Arabidopsis thaliana: one gene and its partners. The protein of the gene in region 3 interacts with the protein of the main gene of each other region in a pairwise test. Each region holds a gene or a part of one and is shown on either strand. Other genes may lie near its edges. The genes, in order: AT1G10820, AT1G68160 and AT5G01200.

The links.
Region 1: the proteins of AT5G01200 (region 3) and AT1G10820 interact in a two-hybrid assay, tested with the Arabidopsis thaliana proteins (one study listed by BioGRID).
Region 2: the proteins of AT5G01200 (region 3) and AT1G68160 interact in a two-hybrid assay, tested with the Arabidopsis thaliana proteins (one study listed by BioGRID).

Annotation. Positions count from the first base shown.
Region 1 is NC_003070.9:3,600,297-3,606,875, reverse strand, and holds AT1G10820 (hypothetical protein (DUF3755)), read left to right. Parts: upstream 1-1,817; 5' UTR 1,818-2,087; intron 2,088-2,192; 5' UTR 2,193-2,225; coding exon 2,226-2,440; intron 2,441-2,854; coding exon 2,855-2,954; intron 2,955-3,820; coding exon 3,821-3,877; intron 3,878-4,416; coding exon 4,417-4,522; intron 4,523-4,625; coding exon 4,626-4,708; intron 4,709-4,898; coding exon 4,899-4,960; intron 4,961-5,066; coding exon 5,067-5,163; intron 5,164-5,382; coding exon 5,383-5,439; 3' UTR 5,440-5,966; downstream 5,967-6,579. Other genes in the region: Z-ISO (15-cis-zeta-carotene isomerase), read left to right, coding at 1-61, 166-375, 805-1,140; AT1G10810 (NAD(P)-linked oxidoreductase superfamily protein), read right to left, coding at 6,119-6,454, 6,550-6,579.
Region 2 is NC_003070.9:25,545,229-25,550,850, forward strand, and holds AT1G68160 (ZZ-type zinc finger protein, putative (DUF3755)), read right to left. Parts: upstream 3,667-5,622; 5' UTR 3,398-3,666; coding exon 3,117-3,397; intron 3,015-3,116; coding exon 2,915-3,014; intron 2,524-2,914; coding exon 2,467-2,523; intron 2,326-2,466; coding exon 2,208-2,325; intron 1,665-2,207; coding exon 1,582-1,664; intron 1,503-1,581; coding exon 1,441-1,502; intron 1,366-1,440; coding exon 1,296-1,365; intron 991-1,295; coding exon 940-990; 3' UTR 530-939; downstream 1-529. Other genes in the region: WRKY9 (WRKY DNA-binding protein 9), read left to right, coding at 76-387.
Region 3 is NC_003076.8:74,807-79,103, reverse strand, and holds AT5G01200 (Duplicated homeodomain-like superfamily protein), read right to left. Parts: upstream 2,233-4,297; 5' UTR 1,989-2,232; coding exon 1,528-1,988; intron 1,153-1,527; coding exon 810-1,152; 3' UTR 561-809; downstream 1-560.

The DNA of each region.
Region 1 (6,579 bases), on a different chromosome or scaffold from region 3:
TGAACGAGCATTTCGTGTTTTGTTTGCTGGAATCTCTCTTCCTTTAGCTATGAGCACCATTGTGAGTACTCTCTCTTCTAACTCTGCAATTTTTCTCCTGATCAATGGTATAAATACCTGTTTGATGTCTCTTATGGTCTATGCAATGCCTTGTTCTTCTTTCAGGTTTACTTTATAAACCATAGATATGATGGGTCACAGTTATGGCAGCTTCAGGGTGTTCCTGGAGTCCATGAAGCTATTTGGGTCGCTAATTTTGTATCCTTCTTCTTTCTCTATCCTTCAACCTTCAATCTTCTGGAGGTAGCAGCTGTTGACAAACCGAAGATGCATCTCTGGGAGACCGGCATCATGAGAATCACTCGACATCCTCAGGTTTTGAACATTTCCCTAATGTGCCTAAACATGAAGACAATTTCCTTCATTTTTGTGTTTCAAAAATACAGAAAGATTGGATTTTTATGAGCCAAGGTTTATTAGTGGCTGTGTTAATGAGACCCCCAATCATTGAATCAATTATGGGCAGGTATTGGCCATTGACTTAAATACACCCATTACATCAGCACAATCAAATCTCCTCATCCTTCTATGTTTATTACATCAATGCTTGATTACTTTACTTGATATTGCTTTTGATCTTAAAATTCTTATCCAATTGCTTCATCATGTGTTTGGAAAAACTTGATAATATATAGAAAGATAGGCATTTTAGCTTCAGTTTTGGTTTGTTCTATTCTCTCTTCATTATACTGGCTTTGTTAATGAGACTTGATTGTTGCACCTCTCTCCTCTGATCTTCTCCAGATGGTTGGACAAATCGTTTGGTGTTTAGCACATACTCTCTGGATCGGAAACACAGTAGCTGCATCAGCTTCTCTCGGTTTGATTGCACACCATTTGTTTGGGGCGTGGAATGGAGACAGGAGATTGGCAAAAAGATATGGAGAGGATTTTGAAAGCATCAAGAAGAGAACAAGTGTGATTCCATTTGCTGCCATTTTCGAAGGACGGCAAGTTTTACCTGAGGATTACTACAAAGAATTTGTCAGGTTGCCATATCTTGCAATCACTGCGTTAACGGTTGGGGCATATTTTGCTCACCCGCTAATGCAAGGTGCAAGCTTTAGGCTTCATTGGTAAATTATATGTCATGCTTTAGGCTTCATTGGTAAATTATATGTCATTTATGTTTGTTTGTTTCCTGCAGTGTTCATAAAGACTTGTTAAGGAACAAATGTATACAAAAAGCCATATTGTTTGTGATACTTGACTCTTCTTCATTTCTCGATTATTTTGGCTCAACACTCTGTAACCACTATGTGTGAGTTCGATCCAACAAGTGGGTTTAGATTAGTATTAACTAGGAATGTTTAATAGTACTGCTAAATGAATATTTAGGTAAAACTATTTTGTATATAAATTCCCACTCAGATGTCATGGGTCACTCTGACGCCTACCACTATACTAATAGAAGTAAATTTTTCTTTTTTCGATGTTTAGTTACAATCGGAAAATGAATCTAAATTTTAACTAATATTAATAATATGCCAAGATCTCCATCCAAATCTAGATTGATATCTACATATTGATGCCTTGATATCTCTAAACTCTAAAGATAAACTTAAAGGCAAGTGATTAATTGTTAACTAAAATTAAAAATTAACAATACAATTTTAATTCGCTAGTTATAAAAATTTTATTACCAAGAAGAATATGGAAAAAAAGGAATTGGAGGCAAAAAAAAAAAAAAAAAAAAAAAAAGAGGCCAAAAGAAAAGAAAGCAAAGGAGTATGAATACAACAAAGAGGTTCTGCAAGAAACAAACAACACAGCCAATTACTACTAAACAAACACACTCTCTCTTTCATTCTTTCTCTCTCTCTCTCTCTCGATTTTCTCCCATTGGAGTTCGCAATTAGCTGCCACTCTCTGATCGATCTTCTTCTCACATCACATCCTTTATAATCTTCAGTTCTACTGCTCGGAGGTGTTTGCTTGCGTTCTCTCTTGTCGGTCACATCCCTAATTACCATCACTGCCCCTGATTAAAGTTTTACTCTATCTTCTTTGTTGATGCCAAATCTGAGGTGGGTTTCTCATCTTTTTATTCTTTCAGCTGTGTTTTGTTTCATTTATTTGTTTCTGGATTTGCTAAAACCCTAAATTTGATATCTTTGGGGGCATCATCGTAGCTCAAATCAGCTTCAATTATCAAATCTCCACGAATGATTCCAATGGATAATCACTGCTTGCCAAGTACTAGCACCACCGGTCTTGTATTCCCGACCAATTACGGTGTTAATGCGATTAACGCTTCCTCCGGTTTTCACCCAGCTGTGGATGCTTCGGGTTCAGTGGCTGCAGGAGTCAAACAAGAAGCTGCTTTGGTTATGGATTGGTCCGTTGAGGAACAGTATGTTTTGGAGAACGGCCTTGCAAAGTAGGTATCTTCGTTTCTGCTTAATTCTTTGGATATTTCCATTTCTTATTTTTTTAATATCCTAAATGTGTCTTTGTTCATTCGTAGCTTTTCAAACTATGCTTATATTTTTACAATAACAATACATAAAAGTTGAAATCGGGAATTGTTTTATCAGAAAAGTAGTAGTGGGAACATTATATTCTCAATGGTGGACTATTAAAGTATGTTCCTTTGTTCCTTCTGATTATAAAAGTATCGCCTTTGTGTGTTCCATGACATTGTTTTCTGGGACTGGGACCATTAGTAAGTTCGGGTTAAGTTATCGATTTTCTAGCTGAGGTTGTTCCTGGTTACTTTGGTTTTCTAGAGTCTGTAGCTTGTTTGTTCTATTTGTTTGCATTTATGACATCTTTATTTTTTTTCCGTTTGTAGATTAAAAGATGAACCCAAAATTTCAAAGTATGTAAAGATCGCTGCAACTCTACCGGATAAAACTGTAAGGGATGTAGCATTGAGGTGTAGATGGATGACGGTAAGTTGGTTAAGCTTCCTTGAGCTATGTGCATACTTCCTGTTGTTTATGTGCTTTTGCTTAGATGACAAGAAAAATTACCACTCTAGACGTCTCTCAAGGATATTTCTTTTGCTAGGGAATTACTTAGTTGTCTCTAGCATTCCTTTTCAAGTGGTATGTGGCTGTTATGGAAGGATTTTTGTTGAAGGATATTTCTGTCACTGTTAAAAGCATATGCTAAATATGAGGGAATCAGCATGATGATGCAATCTTGCGTGTGTGCTTTGTGATAAAGATAAAGTCCTACAAAAAAAGCTAGCGGTTTTATTGATGAAAAGTCATTGACATGTCGTAAAGATTGTCTAAACACTGGTAAAGGACGAGCAAAAAGAGAAAATGACAAGTATTGCTGACGCTAGATTAGTCTTTATATTAGCTTTCGAGTCCATGATTGTGGAGGAATTATTGGAAAAGGAAATAAGCCTAACGCTTTTTGTTAATTATTTCTGTAGTTATCCTCACATAGATTTTACTTTTACGGGTGATGGCTGAGACTGATCCCTATACTTTTATGGTTTTTTTTTTAAAATGATTATATTGCTCGCAGCATGAGTTTACATACATCATAATGTTAATTGTTTGCATAATAATGAAATGAATTAATGAAGTACAAATGTACAATGCTTTATTATCATCATATTTCCATCTCCTTCATGTCTCTGTCCTTTCATAATTGACTTGAGTTTTCAATCAGATATATGATGTAATCAAACATAAAGCTGCAAAATTACTCCGTTTTCTTTTAATTTAGTGCTTGTTTGCCACCAGATATCTATCATGGTCTTTAAAGTTCTCTTGGCTAAGTCGGGTATCTATTTTCACAGAGAAAACGGAGGAAACGAGAGGATAATAATGCCGCTAAGAACATTAGCACTAGGAAGGTATGCTTGCCCACCTCAACCTTTCTTGTGTCGTATTTACCAGTTAATAAGTCGATGGAGGTAGGTGCCTCATTTACGTTTTGGGTTAAACGGGATTTTCCCACAGATGTGACTTTTATTCATGCAAGTCTGAGCTAACGATGGTATTTTTCAACGAAGAAACTGTAATTGGCTAAATTGCTTGTATGGTGGACTTTTCATGAGAACATATTTTGTTAGTTCCTGACTAAGAAAAAGGACTGTCTGCATGACTGGACAATCAATAAAGTTTGTGATCGATTTTTCAATGACTGACGAGCAGCAAATGATGTTGATCCAACTCTGCAGAAGTATTAGCATATATTACTTATGAGTATCTGAGCTTGTGGGCATGTTTATAATGATAATTATAAGGTAATCTAGTGATTGTTATGACATTTGATAAAGGGTTAGTGTGTGTGTTTCATTTCATGCACATTCTCCTTCCTGGGTCTTATGAACTTCTGTAGATCAATATGCTTTTAAACTTGGTTCTAAAGACCATGCTTCTTCATGGTAAGGTGGTGGATACATCCCCAGAACTGAACATGCTATCCAATGTGCCACAACAAAATGCTTTATATGTCCTGAACAATATGTGCCACAGTACACGCACGCCTTTCGAAGGTCTAGTGCTCTTTTAATTCTTTGCTCTTCTTCTGGGTTGTGTGGTCTTAAAAATAAACAAAATCAAATTGTCAGCTAGGTACTTTTGTTGAACTATTCGCAGGTTTAAGTGACGCAGTAATGGATCTTCTACAGCAAAATGCTCAAGCTTTTAGTCAGATTTCTTACAACCTCTCTGCGTGCAAGGTAATTTATACTTGCAATCCTTTGTGGCTAGTTGTGCGAGAAGATTGACAGACTGAAACTGTCATACAAGTTTGATCAAACATTGTATACCAGATTTCCTACATGCTCAGTTATTCTTTAGAAAATAATTTGATACTGTTTCCTTTTGCAAAGTAATTCGCACATAGATATGCTAACTTAGTGCATACAGCTGCAGGATAACATCAGTCTCTTTCATCAGGCAAGAAACAATATCAGCGCCATTTTGACTGAGTATGTGGATCTAATACTAATTCAATTTTCACAATTGAGACATCTCATCTGTCTTCCTTTCTATAATTTAAACCTTCAATTGCTAAATTCTTAGTTTCTTCTGCAGCATGAAGGAGATGCCTGGAATCATGAGTCGGATGCCGGCTCTACCGGTTTCAATTAATGATGATCTTGCAAGCAATCTATTGTCGAGTACAACACAGGTAATATATTTTGCTACATATGTCAAAATAGCTAATCCTGAAAAGTTCGCCATGTGACCTCAAATAATTAGAGCTTCTTGACCCAAAAAGTGAAACATATTAAGATATAAATATGAACATAGAAACCATTAATGTTTTTTAGTTTTATTGATCTCTTGAGGATTTCTCTTGGAAGCTGGCCATGCCTGATGTTTAGTGGATTGTTTCCCTGTCTCACAGCCAATATCGTACAACATTCCACCAAGCATCCACCTGAAGCAAGAGCCAAGAAGTTGATGGGGAAATCCGGATTTTGACCGATACTAAAGTAAATAGTACAAGAGCCTGGTACGTGGCAGTATTTCCGTGGACGACATGGCAATGTTTATCAACTGCAGACACCGCTTCAGAACATGAGATTCAACAATCAGTATTGGTAAAATCCTTTTGCCCTCGGGTAATTTGACAGAGAAGAATGAATTAGACTCCTTCTAAAGCCAAGGTAAAACTCTTTGATACGAACAAAATGCTTTGGCCGTAATTCGATCATAGGATTCCTTGCAATTCGTAGAAGACGGCATAGGTTGATAGAACTCAAAAGTCTTTTGCTGTAATCTTCTTGTTGAGGCTTAAATTAGTATAGTGACAGTTCTTTTGAGTGGTATTCAGAGGCCGGTTATGTGTAACACAAGTTCTAGTTAAGGTAATAATTTATCATCCTCTAGGTACGTATACGTTATCTTCATGGTTTAAGTCGTGATGTGACACAAATCATTGTATATACGCATTGTCACCTGTCTCAATTCATTGTTATAATGTTTGCAGAATCTTCAGTCCTTATTAGAGATTTACTTTTAAAAAGTTTCATTAATTTCAGACAGAAACAGACAAACAATAATGTAGCTTAAAGACGATGATGAAAAGTAGTTCAGAACATAGCTCAGCACGATGGCAGAGTAAAACTATTACAGATGGTTTATGAAGTCCAAGAAGACAGTGGTGGAGTTTCAGAATTCTTGTAAGTAACTATATAGGTGGCTGACCTTTCCCCTTTCACAGAATCGGGATGTCCCATGGCGTCAAGCTCGGCCATCTCTTCGATACTGAGTTTCACAGATAAAGCTCCTATGTTCTGATTAAGGTTTTTGATCTTAGAGGTTCCTGGGATTGGGCAGACATCATTTCCTTGGTGATGAACCCATGCCAAAGCTAATTGTGCAGGAGTACAGCTTTTCTTCTCTGCCATTGCATTGACCTTCTCATAGAGAATCTTGTTGTGGTCTAAGTTCTCTTGCTGGAATCTCGGTAAACCCTGAAATTAAGAGATGGTGAATGTGCTTAATACTCGGCTCTTTTCTTGAATGTACTTAAAAGAGATGGTGAACATTCATATAGTGATGGACTTGCCTTTCTGTAGTCACCATTGTCCATACTCTC
Region 2 (5,622 bases), on a different chromosome or scaffold from region 3:
GTCATAACCACATTTGAATGGAATGAAACTATGTATATATATATAGTTGATAATGAGATTTGTTACATTGTGAAGGTGCAAAGGTGTTTAGAAGACATGTCAATACTGATAACAACCTACGAAGGAACACATAACCATCCACTTCCGGTCGGAGCAACAGCCATGGCTTCCACTGCCTCTACTTCTCCATTCTTGTTACTCGATTCCAGTGACAACCTCTCTCATCCTTCCTATTACCAAACTCCTCAAGCCATAGACTCTTCTTTGATTACATACCCACAAAATAGCAGCTACAACAATCGAACCATAAGAAGCTTGAACTTTGATGGTCCATCTAGAGGAGATCACGTTTCATCTTCTCAAAACCGATTAAATTGGATGATGTAGAGTTTCCTATATCTCTATGCTTGTTCTTTGGTCCCATTATTTGTCATTATGGATTCTTTGCCTTTCTTCTTGTTCTCGTTTCTAACATTTATGTTTCGTATATACAACATCGAAGGTTTCGGATTGTTTTATTTCGTTCAATGTTGGCTTATGAAAAATAAAGATTGATTAATGCTAAGAAAAAATGGGTACCAAAACAACACACCAAAAGATCAAAAGATTAAAGATGCAAATCTCAACACGCTCTTCAATAGAATCTTTTTTTATACACATCGATCGCTTAGAAATTCTCCAAGACACTAATTGAACTAAGTTTATCTAATAGAACTTGTTAAGAAGGTTTTTTAGTTAGGAGCCAGGACCAAGAACCCCTACATTCGTTATATTATGTCTTGTTTCAACATCCCGCGCAGCAATAAAGATCGTTGGTGTTACGAAAGAATCACATTTCTACAAACTTCCCAACATTTGATGAGCTTTTTTTTACCTCCTCCAGCTTCTTTAGGATAATTTACAGGTAACTAAGGGAAACCAGATGATTTCCTAAGACTTCTACTTCCTATGGAAGCCGCCACTTTGCATCGTATTGAATGGCATCATCACCTGGTACAAATCGAGGAAACCAAAGTCATTGATATTGGGAAGCTATTATTCTTCTGCTCTATTTGCTCTTGATAGACATTTCTACAAACCAAAACATTGAAAAACTGGTCTTAAGATACTCAGCTAGTTAGAAGCACAATAATTCTATATTTTGAGCACTTGAACCAGAGATATGGGGTTTGAACTACGGTAGTGTCTGAGGTAAAACAAGCAAATGGGTGATGTGGACATTTTGATATCTAAAACAATGGACTGTTAATGCAAAAGTGAGCAGCCTATTAACTTACTAAAGTAGTATTACTCACCGAGAGATCATCATTGATTGTGACTGGCAATGGTGGCATCTTGTTCATCAATCCAGGCATATTATTTATCCTGCCAAATCAAGACAACGTCTGGTCACTAAGCTCCACAAAACTTATACACAAAATGTTTAAAGTATCAACTTACTCATTTTGGATGGTGATAAGGTTGTTCCTTGCCTGACGAAAGAGATCTAGGTTATCCCCTGCCTGTTTGCAATTATCATTACGGAGCGGTTTTAGCAAGAACACATTTGCATTCCTTTAAACAAGGTAATCTAGAACTTACCTTATATGAGGAGAGATTAGCTCTAATTTGACTAAAAGCTCGTACATTCTGTTCTATAAGATTTGTTGCATAGCTACTTAAATCTGAAACAGAACCACGAAAGAATCAGTAAGAAAAGAAAAGAGACTAAAGATTATTGTGACTTCAACAAAACTTCATATGAAAGAGAGCTTAAAGGATCATCTTTACAAGGTAATAGGATCAGAGAGCGGACTTAAATAGAATTTCACCATTTAAACATACAATAGTCATTATACTCCTTTACTAGATGTATGAAATAAATAATCTCAAGAATGCACCTCTAGAGAAGGACAATGCAGTTAAGAAACCAATTTCAGTATCTATGGGTAAAGGCTTCTTCCAAGACTAAACTACTTTAGAGACGTAGTTATGTTAGCATCGTCCCAAGAAGCTAAAAGTCTAGCTGAAATACACTAATCCCCTATGAACTTATTTATATAACAAAATACATACTTAAACGACATTTGCACCATAATACATACATCAAAACGTATTGCCTCCTTTTGAAAACAAAATATGATGTTAATGTGTGCATGTCAATGAAAAAAAAGACCTGGAGTTAGCAAATTCAGGTGGAAATCTCTCAGATAAAGATAGATGTTAACCTTCAGACGTAATTTGTTTACTGGTGCTTGTAGATGGCCCTGAGAAAGGATATGAAGCCATGTTATGAGGCAAAACAGAGGGAATGCTTGACTTAGACGACGATTCCACCTGCTTGCCCTGAAGAAATATAAATCTTTTAGTACAAAAACCTAAATTAATCAAAAGATATTCAATCTCAATCCTAGCATCATCTTTCAATCGAACTTACAAAAAAGTCACTCATCAAAATTGAACAAATGGCAAGAATTTCCAATATACCTTGCTAGAACTTGCTCTTCTTCCACAGTTTAATTCTTCTGATTTTCTTCTCTTTCTCTATGCAAAACAAAGTCAGTACATCAACAGACGAAGACAAAAGGTAAAAGTAAGAAATGATTCAGTATATAAGAGAAGAGAAGATTTTGTTCAAAACTCAAAGACTGTTATGCTCACTATTCTCATCTCAAGAACTCAATATTGATACAACTCAGGCATCAATAAGACCAAAAAGTCCATCCTAAGGCAAAACCATTTCATTCTGTGTACTGTAGTTTAAGAAGCTATGTATGAAATCAGAACATGTAGAAACTGTTCCCTGTGTATCATTTTTCTTTGCTATACATATATCATTCATGGCATAAGCGTAGAACTACATGACTGAAAAATGGTCACAAGAAAGCTACAAAAACCGTCAGAACAAGGCAGATATGTGAAGAGAGATACTTACCCTCAGCCACCTACACCGCAAAGCAATATCTCGAATACTTTTATCAGGTAAAGTGTTTCCAATTTGAATATACATATCAATACTTGGCATATCCTTATATCTACAAAAAACACAGAATCAGATCATATCAAATTCCACAGAACAAAAAACTATCTTCATATCCTCATTAATGTTAAGAAATCACAAAACAAGAAAGACTCACTTTTCAAGACCAGCATCCAATATGTATTGTTCTTCATTTGACCATTCACTAACCATGGAAGTATCAAGCTTTAGACCAGAACCCGAATCGGAACCATTCGAAGAATTCCCGGTTTGAAGAAAACCAGGAGAACCAACATTGATCATATTCATATTCATCCCCAAGTACGGACTCATTGGAGTCATCTCCGAAGAAGTGTTAGATTGGAAATTAATAGCGTGACGACTCATCATAGAACTCAAAGAATCGAACCCAGAATTTGATTGAGTAGCCATCCACATAATCGAACACAAACCCAAATAAAAAGATTAAAACTTTAACAATTAGAAATCAAACCCAAAACTCTCCTTTGATCAGATATGAAAAAAGGATCAAACTTTGAGAAGGTGAATCATCTTACGCCATGGATAAAGCTTGGAACTTTATAAACCCTAAGTTAAGTTCTCACAAAGAAACCAAAATTTGATTTTGTTTACCAAATCACAATTTTTTTTTTCTTTTTTTTTTTTTCTCTTGTCCTCTGTATATTAGACAGAGCAGCCTTGTAAGCTATAAGCCAATGAAGGATTTTTAGACAAATAATGAAAAAATTATTAATACATTACTTTATGACTTTTCACCATATTGATGATAAACTTAATTGAAATCTAATATTAATTATTTTCCAACACAATTAGTTGAAATGGAAAAAAATGGATTTTGACTATAAAAGTAAGTAGGAATGGGGAATTTTAGAAAAGATTCTCTTCCTAAATTGAAGGGAGAGATATGACTAAGAACATATTCATTTTTTTTTTTTTACTACCAAAATTAGTAGAAAAAAATAAGAAAATAGGTAAATAAATAAAAGAGATGGTTGGCAGATCGTGGAATTTAGTAAATAGTGCGAATCCCAATAATAAAGCATTTGATGCCTTTCTTTCTTCTACCTCACTTTTTTTATTCCAAAAAGTTTTATCAAGTAGACAAGATTTTTTTTTTTTTTTTTTGTTTTCTAATAATGTCAATGTGTGACATCCTCGTTGTCAAAATCTCAAGATATATGAATTTGATTCATATTTTTTCTTTATGTTAATACAAAAATTAATCTTAGCATCTCAATAATTGTGGGATAAACTGATCCGTTCGTACAATACTTTTACAATTATATGCGACTATGAAAATAATTGGACTCATAGTTATGAACCAATAACAGAAGCAAGCATATAAAAATCGATGAAGAGTTTTTTTTTTTTTTTTTGATATTTAAGAAATTATTGATACACTAAATAGATCAAGAAATATATTCATACACCAAAATGATGTTTTGATTTCTGTTTTTTTTTGTCAACATTTATAAGGAGCGAGACTCGATCCTCGATGTCATGTTCTCAGTGGACTTATCATTTGCAACAAGACTACTATCACTTAACAATTTTGATTTCTGTTTACTATCTAAATGCCATCAGCTTTTATAATTTTCATTTTTTTTCACTAGATAAGTTAGGTTTTTTAAAATTTGTTATTAACTCACACTTCAAATCTTATCAAGATTTTACTAAGGTAAAATTGATGTACCGTCGTTTCTTTGTCGTTGCAATTTTCCTCGATTGATGTATGCTCTATTAGTCCAAATTCAATTTTCATTATCCCCAACCCGTATAAGTGAATTAACATAAGCTTCTGGTAAAAAATGCTTATCAAATGAAACATGTTAAAAGTCATGGACACTTAAACATATTATCAGGCCTGACGTTTATATTGGGCCACATGCTATATTTGTAAAAGACTAATTTTATACGCATTTAAGATTTTGCTTAAGAAACGAATAAATTTGGGCTCTAAAATGCTATGAGCCCAATAAACTGCACATTATACTTGCTCCACTAACAGTAATACAGTTTCCTTTTTTTTGGTAGGCTAATCTGAACAGTTTCCTAATAATGCAAATCAATATAATTAATTAAAGATTTGTTTCATTCAAGTTAATTTAACTCCGAACATTATGTTATGAAGAAGAGAAAGACTTTGTTGTTGGACTTGATGCACTCTTTCGCTCATTAAGGTGATCCATACATTTTAATTTCAAAATTGTTGGCAGGAACTAGATTTTGGTTTTACTGATTTACAATGTTATTAACTACAAAAAAAACAAAAAACAAAACAAATAAGTTATCATATCTATCAAGTCTCAACTATTAACTTGTGGCCTTAGCATCTCCAAATTTCTACATTATCCCTGCTTTTGGTTTCTTTAAGACTTTAATCCCAACCTTAATTCACAGTTTTTTTCTCATATATATAGTCCTCATCATGTAAGTAAGTCCTAGCTAATTTTGCTGAAACCACTCTCTCATATTAATTTTTCGTAATATGTTTAGAAATTAGAAAATAAAATAAAATTAGAAGCTATATATAATTAAAGTTTGTTCCACTAAAGAAAATCTCAAAAGTGTAAAATTGTCAGAGATAATTCATCTGTATAACTTTAAAGTAACGGTGTATACTGAGTTATAACACACAACTG
Region 3 (4,297 bases):
AATACTGTAGTTTACAACTTTTTGCAATTTATGAATTTAACATTTTAGTAGACTCCAAATCACCGGTACACTCCAAATCACTACTGGGCTTGAAAATCATGGATTTTTACGGGGTTTAAGGGATCTTATTGGGGCACAGTTTAATGGGCATTAACTATTTCTTCTTCTTTGGGCTTTGTAAGCCGACGTTGTTTTTTTGTTTTCCCTTTTCTTTTCGTTTTTTTTAGTTAAACAAAAAAAAAACAAATTGAAAGCTCGAAGCATTTGGGACGCAACACCCGTCAGGTTCATGATAATAATTGGAGGTAAATGGAACCACGAAAATGGAATATAATTCTTCTGTTATGTTGAACGATCAGCGAAGCCATGGGAAGAATATTAAGTAAAAAAGTAGTATTTAATAGTCAGATCCTTCGTCAGTTTTACTTTTAATTTGAACAAAAAAAAACTGAATTAGATGCTGATTCGAACTAATCCTAAGTTGTCGGGAAGAAAAAGCGACTCACACCAAGCATTGACATTAAAGTCAACGGTATTTACATTATAATTATATGATTATTAAAGAATATAGTATGTAAAGTCACACATATATATATATATATATATATATCATATATATATATCATATATTGGTATTATAAAACTCGGAACACTGAAAATTACAACCAACCAGACCTAATATATGGACAGCAGAATCACACAAACCTTTTCATACAAATATTTACAACAATTCTGCAGTAATATGTACGTAGAAAATGTATGTAACAAATCTATAGGAGACCACAAACTCTAGATAATTTCTAAGTGATTTAACTCCACTGCGGAAACGCATTATAATAGCTAGACGCAGACGCAGACGCGAAACTGTAATGAGGATTTGGCTGAAGGAAAACGTCAAAAGAATTGGCTGGAGTAGGAGAGAGTGCTACGTCAGCGGTCGTGGCGGTTGCGGATGCGTCTGCGTCAGGGATGTTAACAGTGGTGATATCGTGAATACTTGATCGTCTTTTGTCTTTACCATCTGTGAGTTGTCGAAGAAAATATTTCTGAGCGTGTGAAGCGACTTGCGTCGGCGTTCGAGTCGTCACAAAGCTTTTTGCTATGTTTCTCCAATCTCCTTTTCCATATTTCTTCAAACCCATCAGAAATCGTCTGTCAAACAAAGAAAAGTAAATCAATATTATATTTAGTTAACTTCACATAAGATAAATAATTTCAAGAAAGTATTTGAAAATAGATATAAATTGTAAGAAAAGTATAAATCCTAGGCATTTTAATTATCAAAAGAAATATTCTCCTCAGTGAGTTCATATAAAAACAGAGAATTTCAAGTAAATATTAATAAAAGAGATATATTTACCTCAAAATACCACAAAACAAGATTTAGTTCCAAAATTATTTACCAAAATAAACAAATTGTTAGGCTTAGAAACTTAAATTCTATAGTATTATAACATAAAATATCGATTTTTTTAGAACAAATCTTTATAACATTAATTAGAAGTAGTGAAGAAATTTGGTAGTTACAGGTGTTCGTCCTCGGTCCACGGAACTCCTTTCTTCCTCTCCTTTTCCGGCATCGGAGACCTAAAACAATCAGTCATCGCCGGCGAACTCCTCTTTCCTCCAACGACGTAATCATAACCGTAGCTGGAGTTTTCTAGACCAAAGAAATAGTCACTGTTTGCAGCGGAGGAGGCGTCGCCGCCGTATCCCGGAATGGGGATAAGTCCGGCTTCGATGTCGCTGACATCATCCTCTAGCTCCTTGTATCGTTTAATGACGTCAGCTACTGTTTTGCCGGGAATCAAATCTGCGATCTTGGACCAGCTCTCAAGATTGTCTTTGTCGTCCAGATAAGCGAGAGCTTTCTCGAACCGTTTGTTCTCCTCCGCCGTCCACGTGGCTTCTCTGACTTCTTGAAAAATCCAGTTTGTGTTTGCCGGTGAAAACATATTAACTCCTCTGTACATCGTCGACGATGACATAGCTCCTCCTCTGTTTTTGGTGAAAACTTTCGTTTTTTTCTCTAAATTTTAGAAGAGGACAAAAAACAGAGAGTGAAGAAGAGAGTCTTGAGTGACCAAGGCAAAAAAAAAAAGAAACGACTTTATTTTCAGAAATCTCTCGAGAAAAATTATTACATGGAGAAAATGAAGAGAGCATAAAGTGGATCTCTTTGGTCGTAAACGAAAAGGAAAACACAAAAGTGGATTTTGCTTTTTTATTTTATTTTTCTATATTTCACGTGATGATCAATAGGAATAATAATACATTCAACAGGAAAAGGTGTATAAAAAAGTGTTTTTTTAAAAGAAAAAATTGAGGAAAAAGTTACAGAGATATTTGTTTTTGTTTTGCCTATGTCAAATGATTTATAAAAAATATATTTTAGTTGTTGCAATCTAAGTCGGCCAGTAGAAATATGACAACTCAGTAGTGAATGTTTCTTATAAGCTATATTTTAATATTTTTTTTAACCTAAGGTCAGATAAATACTTTTAGTATGGCTTATCTATGTGATAATTAGCATATTTGTTTTCTGCTAATATGATAAATCATATAAAATTGAAATGGGATTAAGACTAACCAAATGCACGTGTCGATACATGAAAGAAAGTATAACATAATTTCTATTTTATGACAAAGAAGGTGTAACCAATAAAATGAAAAAGACCAGAAAACGACTGTTCAATGGTTTGGCCGGTTCTTAATTTGTTGTTTAATCAAGAACATAATAATATTTAACTAAAGAGCTTATTTGTCAACACGAAATAGCCCATTCAATATATAATAACACAACCATAACTCCATAAGCTAAACAAATATACAAAAACAAGTTGGAATATTACACCTTCGAAAATTACGTATTTAATTAATTTTTGGCTGGCAAACAATTTGTTTTTTAACGTATTTGTACTTTTCATTTATTTTGTTGTAAATAAACTTCATTTTGTTAATTAATCTATTTAACTTTAAAAAAAAAGTAGAGATCATACAAATATGCGAATTAAACAATGGGATTCGATGGCAAAAACTGCAGAACCGTTGTACAAGTGGGTTAGGTGGTGATCTTAATTAACCTTTAAATAAATTCAAAAGAAAAACTTTGAACAGAAGCCAGAGCTGGATGTAACCAAAGATATTTTCTTTAGTGTATCACAGTTTCAAATTTAGTATTGGTTATTTTATGTTTATTCATATAAGGCAAGATAATACGAAGAATGTATGTGTCGGGTGCTTTCATATCGTAACAAAAGTTCATATATTAATGTCTCACCACGACACCACCTCATGTGGACGGTACCACAGCTCCACTTCTAGCCAATTGAATAATTTAAATTTGGTAAAAGTATAAAGCATTGCAACCAATTATTATAGCCAACTGTCAAACATTTTCACAAACTCATGTATTTTTGTCTTTCAGAACTATTTTTAAAAAAAACTCGAAAAAATAGTTGACTAAGATTTAACTATTTGCAATACCCGGTTCAGGAAACAAATGATAGACGGTTTAAAATTTCGTATTCAAGATCCCGAAAGCATGTGTGATTAAGAACCAAAAAAAAGTATAAAGTATAATTATAATTAAACACTAGTTAAATCAGCCATGAAGAATGAAATTTGGATATTTCGATACGATGAAATACACAGAAAAATAGTTATCAGGAGTAATTAAATAAGGTAGGGACAACAAAGGAAGCCAATACCGAATTCTCCCTATAGTGTCGCTCACATGCATGATGAAACGTAAACTGTAAGTGTCATCTGCTGATTTGTAGCAGACACAAGGTTTCTGTTCCACAGAGAGTGACTTCTTCTTGGATTCTATATTTAGCAAGATTCTCTTACTATAATTAGTAAATTACTCCTTTTTCTGTCGAATTTATTACTCTTGCTTCGTTTTATTTCATTTCTATCGTTTTATGAGGAGTATTTTGTTTTTTTCTTTCTCGTTTTCTTTTAATATTGGAAATGTGACATTGCACCTACTCATTCAAAATTCGACGACAGATGAATTCTGCTTTGATAACGACTTTTTGGAAGAAAAAAAAGACTGTTTTTTTTAGTTTATCGAGTCATTAGTAGACACGTTTAAACTTTAGGTGAAAATTAAGTTCGAAATACTATTTTGTTTTACCAACTAACCGATCACTTAATTAGTTCAGTCTTGTCTTATAACTAGGTCTAACATTTTTTTTTTTCAAGTATGGTATTGCGTTTTGAACATTTTTTATTATCTACCACATGTATTAAACAAGTGATAAAAACAAATTAGGACAAACTATGGATCAAT